2 linked regions of the Arabidopsis thaliana genome follow. The protein of the gene in region 1 interacts with the protein of each later gene in a pairwise test. Each region holds a gene or a part of one and is shown on either strand. Other genes may lie near its edges.

Evidence for each region. Proteins that work in one complex are often made in the same cells at the same time.
Region 2: the proteins of AT3G17620 (region 1) and SBH2 interact in a protein complementation assay, tested with the Arabidopsis thaliana proteins (one large-scale study listed by BioGRID).

The regions. Positions count from the first base shown.
Region 1 is NC_003074.8:6,026,027-6,029,780, forward strand, and holds AT3G17620 (F-box and associated interaction domains-containing protein), read right to left. Parts: upstream 1,669-3,754; coding exon 472-1,668; 3' UTR 420-471; downstream 1-419. Other genes in the region: RBL14 (RHOMBOID-like protein 14), read left to right, coding at 1-147; AT3G17626 (structural constituent of ribosome), read left to right, coding at 2,153-2,194, 2,349-2,468; CHX19 (cation/H+ exchanger 19), read left to right, coding at 3,175-3,372, 3,463-3,754.
Region 2 is NC_003070.9:4,880,590-4,884,343, forward strand, and holds the start of SBH2 (sphingoid base hydroxylase 2), read right to left. Parts: upstream 1,677-3,754; 5' UTR 1,196-1,676; coding exon 971-1,195; exon of another isoform or gene 383-970; coding exon of another isoform or gene 380-382; intron 273-379; coding exon 1-272. Other genes in the region: AT1G14300 (ARM repeat superfamily protein), read right to left, coding at 2,065-2,124, 2,228-2,587, 2,688-2,801, 2,903-3,048, 3,341-3,419, 3,523-3,720. UniProt on the Arabidopsis thaliana protein: Involved in sphingolipid trihydroxy long-chain base (4-hydroxysphinganine) biosynthesis. Can use C18- and C20-sphinganine as substrates to produce C18- and C20-phytosphinganines (D-ribo-2-amino-1,3,4-trihydroxyoctadecane and -eicosane).

The DNA of each region.
Region 1 (3,754 bases):
TCTGGTTGGTTAAGTGCTTGCGAGATGTGTGGCTCGGGACGGGCTAGAGGAAATGGATGGTCACTGAATCAGGGACCAGCACTTTCTTCTTCTAATGATCTCCCTTTAGATGAGCTGCGCCGTCGAAGAGTAGAGAGGTTTAGTTGATCTCGGGAGCGCATTCTTAAAGCTGAGGAAGGATTGTGAATGAAGCTTTGTTGAATCATTCATTGCATTAGCTTATGAATAGCAGAGTTAGTGGTCGTGTTTTTCGATCTGTTTCTTCAATTTGTCTTCTCTTTTGTTGTTGAAGATTTGGTTCTACGTGAACTGGTCCTTTGATTAGATTGCTGAAAGTAGCGAGTGATTCAGATAATATAGTATCTTCACACCAAACTTACAGTTTCACAGACTTTCGATTTTAACAAAATTTTATCCTATTTCAAACCAAATTTTGTTGAAAGAAGAAGATCACAAAGCAAGATATAAATGTTAATCAGTAATCAATTTCCCTTTTTTCTTCCTTTTGCCTCCTTGCTTGATTTGCGCTGAGCTTGGAACATACGAGCACACAAGTGGATCTCGAATTTTATCAGTAGTTTTTCCGAGATCCACTTCTTTGTAATATCCATCCTCTCCAATGATGTAAGCTGTGTTGTGAGTGGGATACATTACATCTTTGTCTTTAGCAAAGACTACAACAACTTTCTTCTCTTCGTCAATGATGAAACTCGCATCTGCAATTCCAAACTTAAAATCAGTGAGTGGTTGCATATCCACTGCTAAGAACAACTTGCTCCACATCACCTCTTCAGGTTCAATCTTAGTCGTAACCCAAATCTCCATATGTAAGTTGTCCTTACGCTGAAATAACACAGCAAGTTGCTCTTCTCTAACACTAGAAAGACTCACAGTATCTACATCCATAGGGTAACACGGCAAATGAAGACGCGGCCCAAATCTCTCCGATGTAAAATTAAAACAGAGCAAGAAATAAACACTATGTATAAGATTACTGCTGATTTCTGGAAACTTGTCTGTAGCAAACCAATAAGTATTTCCCTTGAGAGAGACACCTCGTGCATAAAACTCTACTTCCCAGTCGGAAGTGACATCGAGAACCCTCCATGAATTAGACTTTAACTCGTATATTTCGTACTCAACAAATTCTTCTTCGGCAAAATCAACGAATCGCAAAACTTTGTAGCGTAGGCTTGATTTACGCTTCTCGTATCCTATAGCACAGATATACCAGTCCATTCTATGGTCAGGACTACTGGGTTTGAGCCACAAAGTTTGGCTCCTATACGGATTCCAAACCACGACCCTAGTGTAGTCTTTCGAGATACATAACAGTAAACCGTCGCAGTGATATACTTCAGATATATCGATCTGATCTGTACCGTTTAGGCTAACAAGTTTAGCTTGACGGTTTATAGACGGGTCAAAGCCGTTGTGAATTCCACGGAGGTTGATGCTCGTTAGATAAACCTTACAATGCAAGACCATGACAACCTTAAACTCACTTTCCCTTGATGTTGCTTCCTGAGCAAGGTGCTTCTTTGTAAAGCTCCGCTTTTTGGATAATGTTTTCCAATTTTTGCAGGTAAATCGCGCTTCTCTCAATGATTTCACCGGAACCCTAGAGAGTCTCTCCTCCAACAAATCTCTTGGAAGATCGGACATCATCTTCAAATCTTTCAAATTTGAACAAGGATCGATGTAACACAAATTAGTTAGGTTTGAAACTTCAGTAAAAAGCTCTCATGTTTCCCCACAGGAACCCTAACTCAAGCTGGGCCGAAACACAACTCTGCCCTCTAAAAATTTCCCGGAATTATTCATCTTTTTGAACTCTTATTTATATGACTGTGATGTCGTTTCATTTATGGGCTTTATTATTGGGCTTTTAGCCCAACTGTAGTTAAAAACTTTTTAGTGATTCTCATTTGTATATGGCGGGGGAGATGATCGACGGTCGCTTCTTGCGGTGGAGATGGAGGAGGAAGACTCTCCTCTCCGACTGCGGCGATTGAACCGAGAGAGCCACCGAAGATTCGAAACCTACAAAATATAGAGGGTGATGTAATCCAGCGTCTGAGCTCGCTGAGAACAGCCTCGACGCCGATTCCAATTCAGTACGGTGGCTTAAAGCTCCTTCAATTCTCAGACCATGGCCAAGGCTCTGTATCTTTTGCTCACTGGTTCTACCATTGTGAGTTCTTCACTACCACCTGCTTTGAATTCAACTACAATCTATCTACAAAATTCTCTAGCCGAAACCTTTCAAGTTTTAGCATGAGACCCTTAGCTTCAATTGTTTTTCTCTTGGACACTGTCTAACTTTGATTCTTCTTGGAATTGATTAGGAAATGGCTAAGAAAGTTGGAGAAGTTATAGAAAAATCCTGCGTAGAGAATGGGATCACAAAGGTGGCCTTTGACCGTGCAATTTACACTTACCATGGCTTTAGCTGCTTCAGCAAATAGAACACGGTCTCCAATTTTAAGTCTTTTTTTGTTTTGTCCTTCTCAGAAATTTGCTTGTATAGAACCCATGATTGAAATTTAGATTAGTCGGCTTGGAACAGTGTTAACTTCTTCCTTTTTAATGTGTTCATTTGTTCTTACTACTTATGCATCTCAAGAATGTTTATATCGTCTATACGATGATAATATATTTGAAAATGGTTGATGTTTACAAAGCTTCAGAAGGTAAGACATCAAATGTGCTGCTTAGTTAAGAGACAGGTACAAGTGCTTGCAAATTTAGGACAGAAGGACAAAGACAGAGACGAAAACTTCGGCGCAGTGAAGGCAGTTCATATCTGCGAAGTATAGATGCGATATGGTTGGAAGTTAAGTAACTGATAGTCTATAAATAGAAAAGTGCGAGGTATATGCCCACCCTGGAGTTGGTATGTCCGCTTCTATCTCATCTACCTATTATTAGCAAACTATAGACGTTATTAGTTTTCTGTTTTTTCCTTTTATATACTCACTTCTTTAATGTAGATTCTGTTTAATAAAAACAGTAACAGAACAGAATAAAATCTTGATTTCTTTTTTTTCCTCCCATTCAGGTCTCATACTTCGTTTGGCAATGCAATGAGGGAGCAGCCAAGGCAGTATTGAAGGGTGAAGCAGTATCTCGTTTCTTGACCAATCATCAACCTGTAAGTAGATCTCCACTAGGATGGCAAGCACCAACGTTACAGGGCAATGCCCGGGTCCAATGAAGGCTACCTCCAATGGAGCCTTCCAAAACGAAAGCCCTCTTGATTTCGCGCTTCCTCTTATCATCCTACAAATCGTCTTGGTGGTTGTGTTTACAAGGCTCTTAGCTTACTTTCTTAAGCCTCTCAAACAGCCCCGAGTCATTGCTGAGATCATTGTGAGTTTCCTACTCAATCTCTTTGTATTTTTCTTTTTCTGTTTTGATGAAATCACATAGCAAAAGAGACTAAAAGGGATGGTTCTGTAGGGAGGGATACTGCTTGGACCTTCTGCACTAGGGAGAAGCAAGGCCTATCTTGACACCATCTTCCCAAAGAAGAGCTTGACCGTTTTAGACACACTCGCCAACATTGGTCTTCTGTTTTTCTTGTTCCTAGTTGGGCTTGAGCTTGACTTTGCAGCAATAAAAAAAACTGGAAAGAAATCACTATTGATAGCCATAGCTGGGATCTCACTTCCTTTTATAGTGGGTGTAGGCACATCTTTTGTTCTCAGTGCCACCATAAGCAAAGGAGTCGATCAGCTTCCTTTTATTGTCT
Region 2 (3,754 bases), on another chromosome or scaffold:
ATACCAGAGAAGAGGAAAGACAAAGCACCACCAATAGTGTCCAAGAGAAGACCTTCTAGTGGATGGTTGTATAGAGCTCCATACGAATAAGGCACAATAAGGCGATGATGCTGAGAGTGGATGTGCTTGTATAAGAACTTGTTGAGGTGCATATATCGATGAATGAAATATTGCCAAGTGTCAATTACAAGCATAGCGATGATAAACTGCCTAGCCAGAAGTAGAATGGAAAATTGCTGTGTCGTAGCAGCATCTGCATCACTTCCTGTTATCTAAAGAGAACAACCAAATTCCAAACAAAATATTTCAGGTAAACAAGAAACAAATGCTCCAAAATGCTAATATATGAAGCTCTATCAACAAAATATCCAGAGTGTACCATAACATGAGAACTAGAAACCTCAATCAATTTCTTCCAATACAGAGAAACATCACAAGCTCACGACTCTGAAACACACAAATAGTGAGAAATTCCAAGACTATCTATAACGGTCTCCCATGCAAGAGAACAAAACCTTGCACATGTGAATGATGAAGGGTAAAGATTGTATTCCTCTAAGCACTATTAGACAAGGGAATCACAAATCTAGACGTAAAAGCTTTTCTAAAGTAACGCCTTATGTTCAAGAATTTCAAGTGAAACAATCTAGCAAATTCTCTATATAAAACAGCAAGAAGCAGGAGATTCAAGTTTTATTTCATCAAACAATCTCCAGAATCTAAACTATTCTTAATGCAGCCTAAATCTGTAACCTTGATCCAACAGCTTCAGGACAACAAAAGGTGAATTGAAATCAGAAAACCCCTAATTCATTCTCATCGACCTAAGTTCACTAACCACAAAATTAGATTAACAAGAAGCACAAGGAGGACAACAACATTATTAGCATAATCCACAACCAAAATCCTATAACATTCACAAATTTGCCACAATGTTCAAAGAAGGGAGAGAGAGAGAGAGATTCAATACCTTGAAGAGAATAACGGAGATAATAGCCTGAAGAGTCTGTTGAAGAAGAACGCCCTTAACGACGGCAGATTTAGAAACGAGATTCTTCTCATCCTCATCTATCTTCGAATGCAATCTATATTTATCCAAAGATCCTAAGCAAATGTACATCCCTGAATACACCCAATACACCAGAATCGGCACAAATGTCCCCAGAAATTCATCTGAAATCACGAAACTCATCATCTCTAATTCTAATCAATCTCTCCCCCACAACAACTCGAGAATACGAAATCAAACACCGCCAGAAGAAAATCGCATCACTCTTCGCTAAACTACACGAAGGAGAGATTAGATTATAATCTTCTTCTTCCTCGTTGCTTCGGTGTTTTCTTTCGTCGTCGAGAAGAATAGGAGAAGAAAATGCAGAGGAGGAGATGATGAAGAGATCTAACGTGATTTTTCAGGTGGGACCCAACTATTCGGAATTTTCCACGTGGCTTTAAACGAATGGTCAAGGCGCCAACTGGTTTCAATTTTAATGTGTGCTAATTAATTACAATCTCTACATATTAAAAATTTAATATACGAATGGTGAAAATATGATTAGAAACACATGCCAAAAAACATAAAAGTCTAAAAACAAAATCATTGATTTGATTTTGCCTCTCTGTTCTCTTATCTGTACAATTGTGGACACATTTGGTGGCTACCTCGTGGGGTTGGCAATAATGTGGTGTTTATCGTTTATTAATTGATATTTCTATAAAATATGTAAAAAACATTAACTCATTAGTAGTTTAATTAGATCTTCTCTGCTTGATTTCCGATTCAGATTCAAAACAATTAGAGAAGTAGCAAAAAATGTGTGTAAGAATACACAAATATATTGTCTAACGAAGATAACATACTATAATGTCTAATATAAAATAAAATTACAACCAAAAATAGAAAATGGAGCACTAATAAGATCGCGTAAGTCAATAACGAATCTAGTGTTACAACTAGTAGTGCACAAGATGTAGTAGTAACTCTTTCATAACAGGATAAGTAACTTACTTTGCGAGGGCAGCCAATAATGGGGACTAGAGTCGGAGAACAACAAATAATGAACTTCAAGACTCTGCTTTTGTTGGCTCCAACGACTCTTCCGGACCTCCAGCTTCCTCAACAAGCTGGTTAAAAACGGCACAGCAAATAACGGTTAATAGTGAGAAAGATGCTATCTTAAGTCCTGTAGAGTTAGTCAGTGAGTGAGATTAGAGGGAGTGAACATACCAAAGAACCGACTTGCTCATAGGCTCTCATTGCTTTCGGATCTTCTTCATATTCGTATCCCAATTGTAGAATCCGTGGGCCGTTGACTGACCAAAATGCCCTTCGACCTGCCTCCTGCAACATCAAAAGTAGTTTTGACATAACAGAGGACCTTTTGTAAGTTTTGGGTTTGATTGGTCCTTCACAAGAGTTCACAAGAAGGGAAAGCGAGACAGAGAAATGTTTTACCTCTAAGATGATCAAATATATAGCTTCGAGTGTCTGAACGCGAATGTCAGGATCAGTAACTGGTTCTCGCTCAATGGACAGTGCACTTCCAAGCTCAGGTGGCATTTTTGCGACATCTTGCTCACTGTATGTCTAAGGAAAGTAAAACCCAATAATCAGAAACTATTTTCTCATAAAAGAAGAAAACCTTTGTAAGCAACAACGTAGCAGCTATAAAGCAAAATCAACAAACCTTGCTGCCTGCAACTGGTAGGAGCAGAGCGGGCCAAAGAAACTCTGATATCAAGAGTATATTCTGGAGTTGGTTTTTGGCTTCAAAACAACAGTTACGAATAGTCCCAGCAACCTGAAAGCCGATAAGCATAATCCATGTTAAATTGTTCAAAGGGTATAGACTAAGCAACATGTTCATTAAAGAGTAATCTGCCAAACTCCTTTTAAACGTACCCCTTTCTTTCGCAATTGATTTGTTGAATCAAACTGCCTAATGATCTGTTTTAATAGTCGTCTCTTTGGCTCCAGTAACAATTTCCTCCCATCTTCTGTTTTTGATATGTTGACAAGGATCGAACCAACATGCTCAAACTGATCATCTGGTGCGCAAATAAGAACAATATTCAGTAATTCATTCCTCTTTTTATACAGTAGCTATGAAACTTGATTGCAAACTAAAAAAACTACCAGTAAGTAACTACGCATAATATTCAATGGTGCCAATGCAAACATTAAAATTCTAGACTGTCCTACCGAGGATTAGATTTAGATATATGAAACAAAAACGTGATATATGAAAAGGAAATTCCAAACTATCATATCTAGAAGTAGATATATATATATATAAACTTGGACAAATTATATTACAATACTAAAGTGGGAAGTACATACCAGCAGTTTCACCAGAAGACCTGCAAAATGACCTAACAAGCTTCATGATATGTAGTCCATGCATCTTCTCATCGTCAATCTAACAAAGGCATAAAGTTTTACACGATTAGCTACGTCACCATTAGACTACCAAAAGATAATCCCCACTATATATTACACAAATTTAACTTATGATAAACGACCTGAAGCAAAGAAGAAACCCCATCATCCAACTGAGTAAGATTCACTAGAAGCATAACAAGTAATCTGGTAATACAAGACTCTGGCTTATACAACATGTCCATGGCCACTTTAATCAAACCCATTTGAATCATCTTCTTTGCCAATTCACACTTCTGAGAAAGATTAACAAGAGCTTGAGCTGCTGGCTCTGATACCTCCTGCAAAATTGAATTCAAAACAACATTTCAATAT